Oryzias latipes: one gene and its partner. The protein of the gene in region 1 purifies or fractionates together with the protein of each later gene. This does not show direct contact. Links are inferred from orthologs where the notes say so. Each region holds a gene or a part of one and is shown in the gene's direction. Other genes may lie near its edges.

Region 1 (4,332 bases):
AAGAGGAATATATCCAGGCCCAACAAACATGGCGTTGAAGTAGTTGTAAAGGATAAGAACAGTCCAGTTTAAGAGCATGAGGAAGTTAATGCTGCCTGCAGTGGTGTCTAGAGGCCAGTACCAGATGACTGAGTCTATGATTGCCATGGTTGAACATATAGCAATGACAGAGAGGGCTATGATTGGGCCCCAGTGGCACAATCTTCGAACCTCATGGAGGTTCTCGAATCGAACTAACGCTGAAAGGAAATTCATATTCGTCCCACTGGAAGCTTAAGAAAATGTTCTTTTTTTTTTTTTTTTGTTGGGGACCTGAAATGTTTGGACTCTGCCTGAGTGTGCTACTTGTTTCTTATATCTTGCAAAGTCAGCAGTGCACACATTTTTATTTTCATCTTTCAAGAATCCAACTACATCCCTGGTCTGTGGTCACCCGGCCTTTCCGTGTCCCGGTGTGTCTTGCCCTTGAAGAGCGCAGCATGCTCCCCTCTCAAATCCTGAAGCACAGGAACCTTGTGAGAGTCCGTTTACCCATCTGATGGAGAGAAAGAGAGAAAAAAAGGGGACAAGCATTTATCATAGAGTGCTAAAAGAAAAGGCTATATTTCCTCTTTATATATGCAAAATAGGTGCTATTTATCTGGAAAACAGGTAGTTGTGGGTCACATATTGACTCCTATCTTTATATAGAAATCTATATATTCTAAAGAACGACATAACTATAATGAAAACACTTTTAATGGTCAAATTAATTACGTTTTATTGTTTTTTAAAAACAGAGATATTGGAAGGGTGAAGCTTTGAATGAAAGAAGAAGAAACTCCATGCACAACTAATTAGCTTGTCAAGTCAAGCTTAGCTAGCAAATTCAAAACAACATTTTAAGCTAATTCCAACAAGTTTCTCTATGTATCAGGAATTCATACATTCATACTAACATCTTGCAAAATTGTAATTAGCTTGGCTGTTTAGATAAACATGTTTCGGCTTAAGAGTAGATGCATGCAGCAGGTAGCGAAGAAGTGAGGTTGGTTAGTTAGCTAGCTCGTTCACCATCTTCCACTACCAGCACTGACAGGAAAACCATTTCAAACTCGAAAAAAGAAAGATGAATCAAACATGACACACGAACGTAAAGCTACGTAGAAATAAACACATTGAATAGTGTTTCAGTAAATAAGCTGTCACTTTAAATTAGTTTAACCTTACCACTTGCACTTCGGATTTTTGTTTTCCTCCCCTATGTGCCCTGAGAACCTTCCTAGTTGCGTCTCGGATTGAAAATCCGTCAACTACAAACAGTCAGATCAAATTTAAAACAAAATGAAAAAATATATGTTTTGTTAAATAACACAACAAAGAGATAGGCGTGATAGTTTTCCGAAACCCTCTCTCAGTAGTAGCGCCAACAGAACACCCAGTTCCTAGCCGGACACCTTTTAGTGTGACTCAAGGAAGAAGCTTGTTATTATTTTGAGCTAACTGTCAGCCCTAGAGCTACTTTGCTACCTAAACGTACTGGTCAAAATGTCTTCAGACTTTGAATCCTACGAGCAGGACTTTGGAACGACTACAGCCGAGTTAACAAATAAAATCGGCAGAATTCCCAAACTAAGTGGAGGTAAGACTTTTACCATTTTAGCGTCAATTAATGATGAGCTGGCAGGCTAGCTAGTAGTAGCAAGAAAGCCTCAGTTCTAGTAGAAGGTGTAGCTTTAATTGTTAACTCTAACTTGTTTGAAATCGTTATAAATATATTATGTTGATACATTTACACGTTTATATTCGCCGTGTGACTCAGTTACTGTGCTCTTTCTGTAGGAACAAAAACAAGTGACCGACTACCTGTGGTTATAATAAATTAATGGTAGAGGCCAGTGTCAAATAGAAACATTATGTCAAATTTATATTATAGATTTTAAGATTATAATTTAAAACCAAAGTTGTTCTTTAGCTTTAAGCAACTGGTTTTAAAGTATTAAAATATTTAAGAAAAATACTTCTAGATTCTACAGATGGCAAGAAACTCCTAACCCATCATAGCTGCTGCCTGTTTTCTGTCAACTTACATAATAGTATTAGAACTGTGATAATCTCTATTCTCTTTTACTATTCTAACATCTTAAACACTTTTAAAATTTAACATCATCAATAATTGTGTACTTAAGCTTCATTTAATTGACTAGAAACATATGTACTTTCCTATTTAAAGTACTCAGTTTAATTTATATCCCAGGGTATTTACTCCACTAATTTGAGAATGGGTTTCAACACTACTAAAAATGTCACTAACATAACAAGAGAGCATATGTGTTCAAATGAAAACAAAAGATCCAAAGTGGAACGTGCATTTTAATAATATTTAGTGGTCTACTACCATCAAATAGTCACCATTTTAGACTTTTACATCCAATGTTTGAAAGCACTTCTATCAATTCTTCTTAAGCCTCTATTTCTTATTTATGCATTTAGTTTTTCTTTCCCAACTATTGCTTAACTTCTGTTAACTTACTGTAGTAAATGAAAACCTTTTCACGATAATTTTGAGGATTTAACTGCAAACCAATACCCTTAGCAAATCAAGTTGTTGTGATATGTCATAAGGTTTTTAATCCCAGTGGGATATGATGCAAAAAGACAATGATTATATTGTACACATGCCTCAGTTAGTTCACATAAAACAATCAAACCATATAGTGTTGGAAGTCTGAACCTAATCATATTATTTACTTAAAAAATATGAACTGCACTGTCATGGTAAGCAATAAAAGAGACACTGTACATATTTATCTCACTTTAAACACTTCTTTGTCACATATGTCCCTGCATATCCATGAAGATGAAGACATTTCTACAGCATATTTTAAATTAGTTGCACATCTTTATTATGTCAAAGCACGAGGAGGACATGTGTTGGTCACAATTTGTGTTTCACAGTAAGACCATATTGTATTTGTCACTTTATTTATGGCACTTTGCTTTGTTTGTATAAGAAAGCATTACTACGGCAGTTATATGGATCACCTCACTGAAACACTTATATTGCAGCCTATACGGAATAATATGCAGTTCATATTGTAACTGTCACAAAATAGTGTGAGCAGATTTCAGATAAGTAGCATATAGTATATTATAAGAATGATTAAGTATGAATGAAGAGTGAATGAATAATGGACAAATTGTTAGCGCTTTGAGCACCAAGAAAAAGCACAGATAAATCTAATGAATTATTATTATTATTATAAAAGACATGAATGAATACAAATTTAAGTCTTTAATTGTAAAAAATCTAACAGAACTAAAAAAAAAACTTAAAAAAATTCACCTGAACATGTGAAACAATGTACTGCTGGTTAAATGCGTAATAGCAATAGACCGGTCAGTTTATTTATATGGCGTCTTACTATGACCGTATAAAACAAGGAGCTATTCATTGAAACTCAACACATTAAAACAACAGTTTAAATGATAACACAATTTAAAAGTTAAATAGTAAAATATTTATAATATTGGAAAATAAAAACACAGTCAAAATAAAACACACCAACAGAGCAGCGTCTAATGGGCAAAAGCCTGGCAATAAAAGTTTTCAGAAGCTTTTTATAAATAGACTGTGAGGACGCTTAGCGAGGCATTCCTCACCTTTGGTGCACAGACTGAAAAAGCCCATTCCTCCTTTAACTTTCTCTTGAACTTTTGTACTCTAATCAGAACCCAGTCAGCTGCCATGAGGCACTGACTGGCATGAAGGGAGAGACAGGCTCAAAGAGGCACGGTTAATTAAAAAAAATTAAATGAAACGGAAGAATCTTAAAGTTAACGTCCAAAATGCACTGGCAGCCAGTGAAGGAAAGCTCCAATTGGGGCGACGTGGTCCCTCTTTAGTGTTCTGGACCACTTAAAGAAGCGGAAGGGACAAGAGGCTGACTCTGAAAGTTACAGTAATCCATTTTAGTTTCTGATGAAAGCATGGATTACTGTCTGAAAGTGTAGTCTTGATAAACAGCGTCACCTTCACCAGCTACCTTAAAGAAAAGAAGCTATACAAAGCGAATTTAGCTATCACGTTTAAAATCACTGTCCGTTTCTGACCTAGATTTGTCCCAGACTTTTAAATGTGAATCAGGAGAATCAGATCTACTGTGGAGGGGTCACACGACTCACTTTAAACTGTCTAAAACAAACTAGGACATAGTTAATTATTTGTTTTTCTAGAAAATCCTATAATTGATAATGACACAGATGTTCTGGTTTGGATGTGATATCTTTGAAGAGTCATGCGTATTTTGAAGAGTATTTGTATGCCTGCCGGGAACTCACTACTGGAGGTTT
Region 2 (4,082 bases), on another chromosome or scaffold:
CAACTCATGCTCTGAACATAACCTGGTCTGGAGCAGGTTTAGTTGAAGGTTAGTTTGTTTTCAGAGAGGTGAAGCAGCATGGCGTGTCCATTTGAAGATGATTTAGTGGATGAAGAAGCTCAGATAATACTTTTTCCACAGTGAAATGGTGATAAGACCACATATGGATGTTGGAAAGATAAACTTTTTTACTTTGATCTAACTTAATTATGTGCTTCAGTTAAGAGAAATCATTTTTAAGTCAGCTTAAAAATAACACGTAGTTATCAGTTATTTTACTTTCATTCAAATTAATTCAATTAAGTAGGTGTAACTTTGGTGCTGCTGTTAGATCGGCACCGCAAGGGATTGTGGGATACCATTCACTTTGCCTGTCTGGACGGATTTGGGTTCAAGTGTGGTTTTTTGACAAAATGTGTTTAGTTGTTTAGCTGTTTTAATGTGTTTTACCAAGTTATTTTACCCTGTTATGTTTAATTCTTTCAGCACCATGAGGGAGAGGGAGGAAGAGGATCACGAGTTTATTTAGAACCTTTACTGCCCAGTGGAGGAATATTTAAGTCAGAGAACAGACTTCATAATGTGGTTCCATTTTGTTTCATTCATTTTATTGTTATAAAAATGAGAAAATCTGCAGCCTCTTAGACATAGGAGAGTTCAAGAATTGCAATAAATTAAGATTGAAAAACATTTAATTAAACTGGAGTAATATGATATTTAGTTAGATAAATATGTAAATTTGAGTTGTAAAAAGAAATATTGAGTTGGATAGACGTAAGAAATTAGGTTGAATAAAGTAATAAGTAATTCATTTAAGTTGGATAAGTTATATATATATATGCGTCACAAGAATAATAGAAATAAGATCAGAAACTATTGCTTTTACTTTGTCCGTTATTTTTCTGCAAGCAGAAACTCTTTTTTTTCCTTTTTTCTTTTGATGATGCAGCCGTGTTACTTTTTTGATGGGTTTATAATCTTCATACGCCGTCATTAATCTCAGACTCCGTCTCACTGAATTGTAGCGCTCTCTTTTTTTCACCACGCGTTTCCATGGTGACTCCGGAAATCGGTGATCCATTGAGAATGTCTTTATGTACTTGCTGTGCACGTGCATTAACCCAGGGTTACCAAGTCGAGCGTAATTACGCTAACTCATATCCGGTCTTTTGGAACCAACATACCCAGAGTAAGCAAGTTCAGGCGGATTTCAGCCAGAGTTCAGGATTAAAGTCAGGGTAGTTTTAATATGCTCCCTGGAATACCCCCCTGGTTATCCATGTCTGGGCGTCCTATTTTTATTTGGTGCACAGGTCGAGACGCCAAGATGGCAGCACGCACTCTGTCTGTCTGTTAGCGTCCTGTGAATGAATGAGTTTATTTTTATTTTTTCTTAACGACTTTTAAGCTATTTTAGATTATAATTTATAGTTGTTTCTGGCCTTTCTGAGAATGGTATTTTGTTTATCAATTACCGTGCTTGTTTTTAGAAAGGCTAGCTCCGAAACTCTGTGAGTCAAAGCCTACTCGATTCATTAAGACCCAAAACCAGGGTTGGTTCACTGATATTCGAAGGAACGCTCCATTTTTTATTTTTATTTTTTTTATTTTTATTTTTTATTTTTTCGACGATCATGAACTGTATGCGGTCATCATGAAGATTATCACCGGGTGATCGTCGCTGGATTCCTGGCGTGACTAACCTTGACGGGCCTTATACTTCATCAATTAAGGGAAGTCCCAATTTACCTTCTATCGAAGCTGGCGCACTATTGTATATATTTTTGCCAAAGTTGAGATGCTGATGCCGTCCTGCCTTCCTAGCACCTGTGTGATATGCCCTATCCGAAGCAGATCCAGGAGCGCTTGGCTGGTTGATGAGCTTGCTATCTTTGTGTGAAGGAAAGTGCTTGATTCAACCCTCGGATCGTGTGATCTATACCCATTTAAAGTTGAACTAAGCTTGGGCAGTAATTTCGCTCTTTTTGCCCGCAGCTTTCAAGCTCCGTGTTCCTTGCTGTTTGTGTGGCACGTCACGGGAGGACGTCTGACAAAAAACAAAACAAAACAAAAAAAAAAAAAAAAAAAAAAAAAACGGCTCTCGGTGTATCCCGAACTGGATTCTGGCAGATATCTGGACTGAAGGCTGCCATGGCCAAAGTTTTAAATACCTTCCTTCAAAGCCCCCGGCAAATAATATCAAGGGCTGAAATATTCTTCCTGCTAACATTGGCCTTATATTCCATCGGAGACTTTGGCATTGCCGTAGCTCTTCGGGAGTCAGATGACTCCCGTCCAGTGAATCCAGTGTGTTGTGTATTTCATGCTGGAACAAAAACTTTTATTCATGAATGTCATAATGCATACGCATCTGTGTGTCTCTCAGACAATCCAAATGAACTGCTGCACCTCAGCTGTGTAATGGTTCTTCAGAAGAATTTTACTATAAACTCTACTATAGCATTCTTAAAAACGTTCCCATCTCTAGGACCTTCAAATGCAGTATGTAAGAAACCACAACTTCAAAGACGCCTCATCTTCTTATTGTTGTTAATCTCCGGGAATATTCCACCAAACCCTGGACCAGATAGTCCTACTTTTAGTACTCCTGAAGACTTCAAATCTCGTAATGGTCTTGGATTCATTCATCTCAATGTAAGGAGTTTATTGCCTAAAATGGATATGATACGCATTTGGGCAATTTCAACTGAAGCAGATGTAATTGTTGTTTCTGAAACATGGTTAAACAAATCAATAACTGACTTTGACATACATATCAATGGTTATAATGTTTTTAGGGCTGATCGTCCCAAAAGGGGGGGAGGTATAGCCATCTATATCAAAACTAAACTTAATGCAAAAGTTCTTCTGCAAACATCAATGGCAAAGAAATTTGAACTTTTAGCTCTTGATCTGGAGATCTCTAATTCTCTGCATATTACCCTAGTTGGTTGCTATAGAGCGCCCTCTGCTGATGGCTCTGCTCTTCCCTCTTTAATGGAACTGCTGTCTTCCTTAAAATACAATGAAGTTGTAATAATTGGAGATTTAAACTGGAACTGGTTGCAAGCTGTTTCTGATGATTTTAAATCTTACTGTGATTCCCTGAACCTCTTTCAATTAGTAAATGATCCTACTCGACCTAACCCCAAATTTCCGGAGAAATCCTCGCTAATTGATTTGATTCTTACAAATTCTCCTTCAAAGTATTCAACTGCTGCTGTATTTGCAAATGATATAAGTGATCACTGTATCATTGCTACATCGAGAAACACAAAAATGCCCAAAACCAAACCACACATTATCATAAAACGCAATGTCAAGCAATTTTGTGAACAATCCTTTTGTCAAGAACTATATGAATTTGACTGGCACACGATGATGGAAATTGATAATGTTGAAAGGGCCTGGAGTTATTTCCATAATGAATTTACAAAAATCCTTGATAGACATGCTCCTATCAGGCACTATAAAGTGAAAGGTCGTAATAATCCGTGGTTTAGCTCAGATTTGGCTAACCAACTACATGAAAGGAATGTAGCATGGGCAAAAGCTAGACATTCTGATAATGCATCTGACTGGCTGGCATTCAGAAAACTACGCAATGCTTGCACTACTGCAATTCGAAATGTGAAATCTGACCATTTTTTGAAAAATACTACAGAAAATTTAAATAATCCCTCAAAGTTTTGGAAGATAGTTAAGTCCCTAAATGAAAATAATTCAGGTATTGAGCTCCCTTCAAGTATAATGAAAAACACTTGTAATATAACAGACAAGACAGAGATGCTTTTATGTTTTAATGAGCATTTTGTTTCCTCTGGATCATTATTTAATTCTATAAAACATTCAGCTGAGTACTCCCTCCCTGTGAATCACGAAGATTTAATACATAATTTCTCATTTTCCCTCTTCACAACTTCAGAAGTCTCAGAAGCCCTTAAACTCCTTGATCCTACTAAATCTGCTGGTCCTGATGATCTGGAACCATATTTTATAAAAGCGGCAGCAGACTCTATCGCACTTCCACTGACCTATTTATTTAATTTGTCTTTGTCCACAAACACCATTCCGCATGCTTG

The links. Proteins that work in one complex are often made in the same cells at the same time.
Region 2: the proteins of vti1a (region 1) and vamp4 purify together in Homo sapiens (affinity purification with mass spectrometry; 4 studies listed by BioGRID and IntAct, counting the BioPlex papers as one, with this or other methods). This does not show direct contact. The link is inferred for Oryzias latipes from reciprocal best matches to the Homo sapiens genes VTI1A and VAMP4.

The regions. Positions count from the first base shown.
Region 1 is NC_019877.2:9,985,524-9,989,855, reverse strand, and holds the start of vti1a (vesicle transport through interaction with t-SNAREs homolog 1A), read left to right. Parts: upstream 1-1,423; 5' UTR 1,424-1,527; coding exon 1,528-1,621; intron 1,622-4,332. Other genes in the region: palmitoyltransferase ZDHHC6, read right to left, coding at 1-255. UniProt on the Homo sapiens protein: V-SNARE that mediates vesicle transport pathways through interactions with t-SNAREs on the target membrane. These interactions are proposed to mediate aspects of the specificity of vesicle trafficking and to promote fusion of the lipid bilayers.
Region 2 is NC_019862.2:3,865,292-3,869,373, forward strand, and holds the start of vamp4 (vesicle-associated membrane protein 4), read left to right. Parts: upstream 1-1,190; 5' UTR 1,191-4,082. UniProt on the Homo sapiens protein: Involved in the pathway that functions to remove an inhibitor (probably synaptotagmin-4) of calcium-triggered exocytosis during the maturation of secretory granules.